2 linked regions of the Caenorhabditis elegans genome follow. The protein of the gene in region 2 interacts with the protein of the main gene of each other region in a pairwise test. Each region holds a gene or a part of one and is shown on either strand. Other genes may lie near its edges.

Region 1 (3,946 bases), on a different chromosome or scaffold from region 2:
TTCCATAAGTAGACGATTTACTATTTACATGTAGTTTTCGCTACAAGATATTCAAAAATATGTTACGCAATACACATCATCGTTCATTCAACTTTTTTGGCAACAATTATTTATAATTTTTTCAGAGTGAACACGGTTCTAACAAATCAGCCAGAATTTGCCGAGGCTTTCAAATGTCCAGCTGGATCTCCGATGAATCCAACGAAACGCTGTGTTGTGTGGTAATCAGAAAATACGGGAAAGGAGTCAACCAAGTTGGCACGCTTTATCTATCTGTCTCTCAGAATCTACTAAATCTTTCGTCCTTTTTTTTTACTCATCTAGCTGTATATATTGTTGAAAACAATAGACACTCGAATTCACTGTATTTTGTCCCTCTATGTATTTTTTCTCGAATTTTTCCAACTTCTTTTTTTGGTATATCATATTGATAGATGTTCTTGTTCATTCCAGAAATCTTTGTGCAAATAAAATTTTCAGATGTAATTAAAACTTGCTAAAACAATGCATCGGAAAGTTCATTTTCTTACAGTACCGAGAAAAAGACGCGAATAAATTAAAATCAGTTTACAAATACAATGCTTGAGTTCTTGAAAGACACCGGTTAAACGATTTGTTCGAGTTGCTTGGCGTAGAAGAGGGTTTGAGTTGCGACTCGCACTGTATCCAAATTCACAGGCTTCTCCTGAGCCACCTCAATTTCGAAAACGTAACGCTCTCCATCCAAATGCCATTTTCTCTGTAAATAAATATATTTTTTAATACTTGTAGCTTTAAAAATCATTATTACCTCTTGTCCAAACTTTTTCATTTGTTCGTCATTGTCGAACAGAAGCATGACCGTGGCATCCTTCGCTGTCAGAACTTTGAAAGACTTCTCGATAGATGTTGCGATTTCGCGACGGATGGTGTCAAGCATAATACGAATGAAAATAGTGTAGAAGGGGCTTGGAATATTCTTCTCGGTGAGCACAACCTTGTTGTAGGCTCCTTCCATGAGACTCTGTTCAATACGAACTGGCGTAGAGATGTAAGCGTTTGATGTTTGCTCTTTCTGTGGAATTTGTTCGAGGAGCATGTGGAAGTCGGACAATCTGTTGGCAGCGAGCAGGAACATCAGATGGAGTCCAGTCATTAAATGCTTGTTTTCAGAATTTTCTGGCGCCATTGTATAGTAGGTATGCATCTGGAAAATTAAAAATAATTTACAGATCGTTAAAAATTACATAAATTTTCCAAATAATTATTTAAAGACTCACCTGATTGATGTAATCGTCGAACGTTTCGAAATCGTGCTTCAGAATTGCCAAGAGCACCGAAATCTCGTACAAATCTCTGAAAATTAATAATTTAAACTCATTACACCAAAGAAAAATCTTACTTTGAAGCCAATGCAGACTGTTTATCATTCAAATCGCTGGAGGCACTGAGAACCTTCTGAAAATTCAATTTATTTACAATTTGACAAACAATTAACTGACCGTCAACTCATTCAGAGCCTTCTCAACTGCGACAAGATCTTTTGGCTCCTTTGCCCACACAGCCAGAAGATTTTTATGGGCGGCAGACATTTTCTTAAATCCAATAATGTTTTAATTTGATAAAATCGAAGATAAAAGTTCACGATAAACACAAGTGAAGTTAAAAAATAAAAATAAAACATTCAAAAAAGAAATAAACGCATTCTCCGTAAATCGACACAATGACAATTCTGGCAGGTCTCGCCACGAAGAGTGTTCAAATCATGTGCGCCTTTAAGACGCCAAGCCATTTTCTCTTCTGTTTTTTACCACTTATTTTGTTCTTCAAAATGGTTTTTTTGTTTTGTTCTTTTATTAATAATCAAATGTTTGTTTATTTTATACATATATACTGCTTGTTTTGCATTAATATCAATCTGTTATCGATATTTATTTCTTTTTCTTTCAATACATGACTCTATTCGTAACATTTCACAATTTTTTGCAGGATGGTTTTGTCCGTTACATTCAGGACTCTCACACAAGTTAACTTCAATTTGGAATTGAATGAAGATCAGACGGTAAGATTAGAGTTAATGTTCGACTTGTATTTTATTTTTCTTTCAGATTGCGGAAGTAAAGGCTCTGGTCGCTTCGGAGAAAGGGGATGATTATGCTCCAGAACTTCAAAAATTAATCTACAACGGAAAGGTATTACAGTGAAGGCTCATAATATCTTTAAAGTATGTTTTTTTTTTAGATTCTCGACGATTCTGTGAAGGTCGGAGAAGTCGGATTCGATTCTTCGAAGTTCGTTGTTGTGATGCTCAGCAAAAGGAAAGTCACAGAAGTTGCACCTTCATCTACCGTTGCCACAGCTGCTGAGCCTGTTCCAGTAGCTGCCGCTCCTGCGTCAAACCCAGCCCCAGCTGCCGATGTTGCTCCTGAAGCTGCTGCTCCTGCTGAGGCGGAGGCGCTTACGGATGAGCAAGAAGAGAACGTTCTCGCAATCACTGGAATGGGCTATGACCGTGAACAAACTATCGCTGCTCTGCGCGCAGCATTCTGGAATCCAGACCGCGCAGTCGAGTTTCTTCTCAACGGACTTCCTGATGATGCTGCTGACCAAGAACCAGATTTGGGGCCCGAGCAAAACATCGATAACGTGGATGAGGATGGCAATGACGATCTTAACATGCTTGCAAACATGCCACAGCTTGCAGAAATTAGAGCTTTGATTCAACAAAATCCTGAAATGCTCGCCGCAGTCCTTCAGCAGTTGGCTGCTGTCAACCCAAGACTTGTTCAGACTATTCAGAACAACCAGCAAGCTTTCATGGATCTTTTGAATGGTGGAGCTCAAGGAGCCGGAGCCGCTGCAGGAAATGCGCCAGAAAGAAACACCCCACGTCGCCATGTTATCCATCTCAGTCCCGAAGAAGCTGCTGCTATTGAGAGAATCAAAGCCATAGTTGTTAATGCACCAGAAGCTGTGGTTGTGGAGGCTTATTTCGCATGTGACAAAAACGAGGAAGCCGCTATCAACTTTATTTTCAGCAACCTCGTGAGTTTATTTCCATACGTAGATAATTAGAAGTTTAATTTTTAATTATTTCAGGATGAGGAATAATTATCTTACCCATGCCAATAACTTCTGATCACCGTCACTGGAAATTGCAACAGAAATTAATTTATTCTCTCTCCCCCATTTCCGTAAAGCTTATATTCTTGCTCCTATCAGCCTAATTTTTTTATTAACACTTCTTCCAAGAATGTGTATTCATCGCCTTCTCGATTGCCCTTTGTCTATATATTTAAGATAATAACACATTCAGTTCCATGTGCTGATTGTCACCCGCTACTGGTAGGCACTTCGTTGAAATTCTCGTCGCGTTCAGCGAATTTTGTGTGACATAATTTCGGTATTGTAATTCCCTTTTGTCATCCAACATTTTCAAATGAAAGTCAAATGTTTTAATGATTCTTCGTTTCGATTTATCAAACTTTACCCAATGAGTCATCACGATTTCGTACTCCAATATCGGTCGTTCATTTCTTCTGAATATGCGCTAATTCACTTTACTTGAAGATGTCTGGAAAAATAAGCGAAGAAGCTATGCAGGAACAGGCCGAAAGGGCGGAATATGTGAAAAATATTGGGATTGAGTACAGATTTGGATGCTACGAAGTGAGAAATTTGAATTTTCAATCTTTCTTTGAAGTTAAATTTTCAGGAAAAAAGGCCAGAATCCTGTCAATTGCTCGGCGAATACATGGAAGCTCTGCAACAAAATTTTCAAGCGGCCGTAGCGATTTTCAAGAAGAACTGTGACGAGAACAGTTATCCAAAGTCATGTTTCAAGTACGGAATGTACATGTTAGCCGGAAAAGTTGGAGACGATGCAAGTCTGTCAAAAATGATTCGACCGATGAAAATCGCATGTGATGCGAATATTCCACAAGGATGTCGATATTTATCACTTGTT
Region 2 (4,083 bases):
CATAATTTAGTGACTTTTACAAATAGTTTTTCTTTACGAGACTATAAATTCCTATGAACATTTATAAAATCTAACAAATGTGGCGTACAGTGTTTCACAGTATTCCACAACTAAACGGATAACGTTAATTCCGTCATTGTGAGTTATGTATGAGCAATATATTCTGTTCAATAATTAACTCCTGGCTATACAAACTTGCTCACCTCGGCGTAGACCCTCGCCCGGCTAGGAATCGGAGGCATTTCCCAAGAATAACGATCTGAAACAAGTAACACGTTATTTTTGAGCAAGTTTTGACAAAACGGCTGTTATAATTGAATTATTAGAACGAAATTTTCAGTAGAAATAGTAAAATCTCGGGAAAACTGATAAAACCCGAATAATTTTGAAAATACATGCCAGAACATGAAAAGAGTACGCAAATGCGAGAGAGCGCAGAGAAAAAACCAAATGTGAACTCGTGCGTGGTGAGATATTCCCGCTGCGAAAGTCGGTGTGCCTTTAAATTTGTCATCATCGACAACGGCGCGCATTTTCTTTTCTCATCTATTTCTGTATTTTAGAATGAAATCACTTTATTTTCAGCGAAACACTTAATTAAAATTGATATTTTCAGGTAATTATGCTTTCAGCTTCACAGCTTCATCGATTTGTGCAACATATTAATCGCCAGGCAAGCCGAGTAAGTTCTGAAGCAATTAATAAGTTATTTTATGTTTTTCTTCAGAACACATGGGTATTGCGCCGAGTATTCCAACCAGAAGTCACACCGCCCGGCGGAGTACAGAAAAATCCCAATGATTTCCACGATTACCAGAAATACGAAGTTGTTGAGTTCGAAACACAAAAATCCGCTGGTCCGATTAATGTGATTTTACTTCAAGATGTTGAAGGTAGTTTTTTAAAATAAAAGAAAGCAAATGTAAAAAATTCATTTTTACAGGAATTGGCCATCAGTTCGATGTGGTTAGTGTGGATCGGACTTTGGCCCGAAAGGATTTACTATTATCTAAAAAAGCCGTCTACGCGTCGCCGTTTGATTTAAAGTACTATTCAGATATGAAAACAGTGGGTTTTAATGTTAATTTATATTTTTCAATCAAATAATAATTTCAGCGAATGGCTGAAGAACTTGCTTCTCGAATCAGAATTCCATATGAGCTCAAAGTGGTTGGACGAGATTTGCAAAAAATGGTCATTCCAATCAAAGTTAATATGGAAAATCAATGGACGATTGATAGGAATCTTGTAAAAAGCTCACTTCGTCAAATGGGAGTTTTCGTTGCTGAAAATACAATTTTCCTCGCCGCTAAACCAATTTCTGGCCCGAATTTTGATATCGAAGCAAAACTATTCCGATTCTACGTTGTTGTAAATCAACAATACATTGTTCCTATGTTAGGAAGGATTACACATATTTCAGTAGATGAATCCAAACAGGTAAAGATTGAAAAGTTGTAGAAAATTATTGAATTTCCCTTTTTCAGATGATTTCTCCTACACTGACAACACCACGTGACGAGGAATTGGCTCGATATTCCATCCGAAAAGAGTTCCCATTGTACAGTAAAAATAACGATTTCACGGAAGATTTCCCAATTTTCGAGCACATGAAAGAGCATGCACCAACAACTCCACATTAGAATTCTAATAATCAATCAGACTAGATTTAATGTGTTTCAATTCTTTATTTTTGTTATTCTTGTTTTGTTGTTTGAAAAAAATCGATTTTATTTGTATTTGATTCTTCAAATAATTTTTAATTTATTTGCTCACGGTTTAATCACCGTTTAATATCTTCCTTCATTTATTCGTCAAACTGTTTTAAATTTAATTTTATTTCTCACATTCTACAGAGTTCATACAAAGGTGCTCAACACATTTCCAAAATGGTTCAAGAAAGTACTATGATTTGGTGAGTTTTTCTTGAATAATACGAACAATGGCAATATTATTTACTTTTCAGTGTCGACAATTCGGAATACATGCGCAACGGAGATTTCCAACCAACTCGGCTCCAATCTCAACAGGATGCAGTAAATCTTGTTACACAATGCAAGTTGCGTGCCAATCCGGAGAATGCTGTTGGAATTCTGTCAATGGCAAAGTTCGTATATTACTCAAACTCGAACGTTTTTTTGCGCTAAAATGACGGTACCTGGTCTCGACACGAAGATATTTTGTTAAATGCAAAAAGGTGTGCCCCTTTGAGGAGTACGGTAGTTTCAAACTTTCGCCGTTCTAGAATTTTCATTGGAAAATCGATGAAAATTCAGTAACAACGTTTGAAGTTACAGTATTCTTTAAAGGTGCACATCCGTTTGTATTTAGCGAAAAATGTCCTGTCGAGACCCAGTACCGTTTTTTGGCGCAAAAATCACTGATTTCCGGTAACACATGAAATTTTTCAATGTTTTCCTTTTCAGCAGTGTTCAAGTATTGTCAAGTCTGTCCACAGAACAAGGACGTTTGATGATGAAGAATCATTCCATTGAGCCATTCGGAAAATGCAACTTTATCGCCGGTATCAAGATTGCTCATCTTGCTCTGAAACATCGTCAAAACCGTAATCATAAGATGCGCGTTGTTCTCTTCATCGGATCACCTCTCGAGGAAATTGAAATGAATGAGCTCGTGAAGATTGCAAAGAAAATGAAGAAAGAGAAGGTTCTGTGCGACGTCATCATGTTCGGTGAAAATGAATCCGATGGACATGAGAAATTCTCAACATTCGTGGACACATTGAACGGAAAAGAAGGCAGCGGCTCATCCTTGATCGTTGTTCCACAAGGATCTTCCCTCACAGACGCGTTGTTGCAGTCAAGTGTATGCAAAAATGAAGATGGGCAAGCTGCATTCGGTGGAGGTGGAAACGGAATGGATAATGCATTCGGAATGGATGTTGAAAATGATCCAGATTTGGCTTTAGTAGGAAATTATTTTTTGGTTGCGTTGGAAAATCATTTTATTATTCTTTTTAGGCTCTTCGTGTCTCAATGGAAGAGGAACGAGCTCGTCAAGCCGCCGCCGCTGCTGCAAATGGAGGTGCCGCGGATTCTGGAGCTGATGCCGAAGTTGCTGCTGCGGCTGCTGCTGTTCCATTGGAAGAAATGGACATGGGAGCGATGACTGAAGAGCAACAATTGGAATGGGCTCTTCGTCTTTCAATGCAGGAAAATGCTCCGGCTGAGCAGCCACAAGTACAACACGAACAAATGGATGTGGATGGAGCTCCAGCAGTTGGAGGAGACAATCTTGATGATTTGATGAACAACCCAGAACTTTTGCAGCAAATTGTGGACGATCTTCCTGCTGCAAATGCGGAGAAGGATGATGACAAGGAGAAGAAATAAATGTCCCTGTGAAGTTGTTTTATTGTATTTTATCCTATTTATTATTGAATCACCATCCAGCCACCCCAAGTGAATGATTTTCAGTCTCCAACTTCTTCTTCCCCGCTGCGTAATTCTAATTTATTCCATCTCTCATTTTTCATCACGTATTTTCCTGTATATCCAGACCGATGTGAAAATAAACTTTTTGTGGCAAATATAAATTTATTCATGATTAGATTCTAGATATTGATTGATTATGGGAGTGGTGTCATGGATCCTTTTTGTATTGCTTCAGATAGTCTTCCACATTCTTCATCATCTCGCTGGCCGATGGAAGCTTTTGTAACTGAAAACAGTTGAATAAATTATCAATAATCAATCAAAATAAAAGATAACCTCATAATTCTGTGCAAAGTACGCTCCGGCGTATGCTCCAAGCCCCATCGTCAGGAGATGCGAGAAGAGACCCATATTTTACTGAAATTATTGATTTTTTCAGAGATAAAATATGTGATACATTTAGGAATAATCATTAAGAACATAATTTTATGTAAATTGAGATTGCAATTAAATTAAATTGAATATTTTAAAGGAAACACGATAAAATCAGCAAAAAAATGACGCACCGCTTAAAAAGCAAGTGCGCTCTACTGATAATCTTTTTCGAACGCTCTTCAATTAATTGGAATTTCCGAAATTTTATTATTTTCAGCTTTATAAAAGGAATATGACAGAAAGTACAAGCTTG

The links.
Region 1: the proteins of rpn-10 (region 2) and rad-23 interact in a two-hybrid assay, tested with the Caenorhabditis elegans proteins (3 studies listed by BioGRID).

Annotation. Positions count from the first base shown.
Region 1 is NC_003280.10:11,650,752-11,654,697, reverse strand, and holds rad-23 (UV excision repair protein RAD23), read left to right. Parts: upstream 1-1,968; 5' UTR 1,969-1,969; coding exon 1,970-2,041; intron 2,042-2,087; coding exon 2,088-2,171; intron 2,172-2,220; coding exon 2,221-3,024; intron 3,025-3,078; coding exon 3,079-3,090; 3' UTR 3,091-3,436; downstream 3,437-3,946. Other genes in the region: nep-1 (Neprilysin-1), read left to right, coding at 126-225; rpn-12 (26S proteasome non-ATPase regulatory subunit 8), read right to left, coding at 605-739, 791-1,186, 1,260-1,335, 1,382-1,437, 1,482-1,571; coa-7 (Cytochrome c oxidase assembly factor 7 homolog), read left to right, coding at 3,550-3,648, 3,695-3,946.
Region 2 is NC_003279.8:10,730,198-10,734,280, reverse strand, and holds rpn-10 (26S proteasome non-ATPase regulatory subunit 4), read left to right. Parts: upstream 1-1,856; 5' UTR 1,857-1,889; coding exon 1,890-1,915; intron 1,916-1,966; coding exon 1,967-2,107; intron 2,108-2,426; coding exon 2,427-2,928; intron 2,929-2,981; coding exon 2,982-3,353; 3' UTR 3,354-3,569; downstream 3,570-4,083. Other genes in the region: kin-3 (Casein kinase II subunit alpha), read right to left, coding at 204-242; mrpl-9 (Large ribosomal subunit protein bL9m), read left to right, coding at 623-682, 728-893, 944-1,068, 1,117-1,440, 1,488-1,643; B0205.12 (YtxH domain-containing protein), read right to left, coding at 3,604-3,681, 3,732-3,806; B0205.8 (TFG domain-containing protein), read left to right, coding at 4,063-4,083. UniProt on the Caenorhabditis elegans protein: Binds and presumably selects ubiquitin-conjugates for destruction. Required for protein degradation and ubiquitin-proteasome system (UBS) function and regulates proteasomal subunit expression. Involvement in UBS might be cell type specific.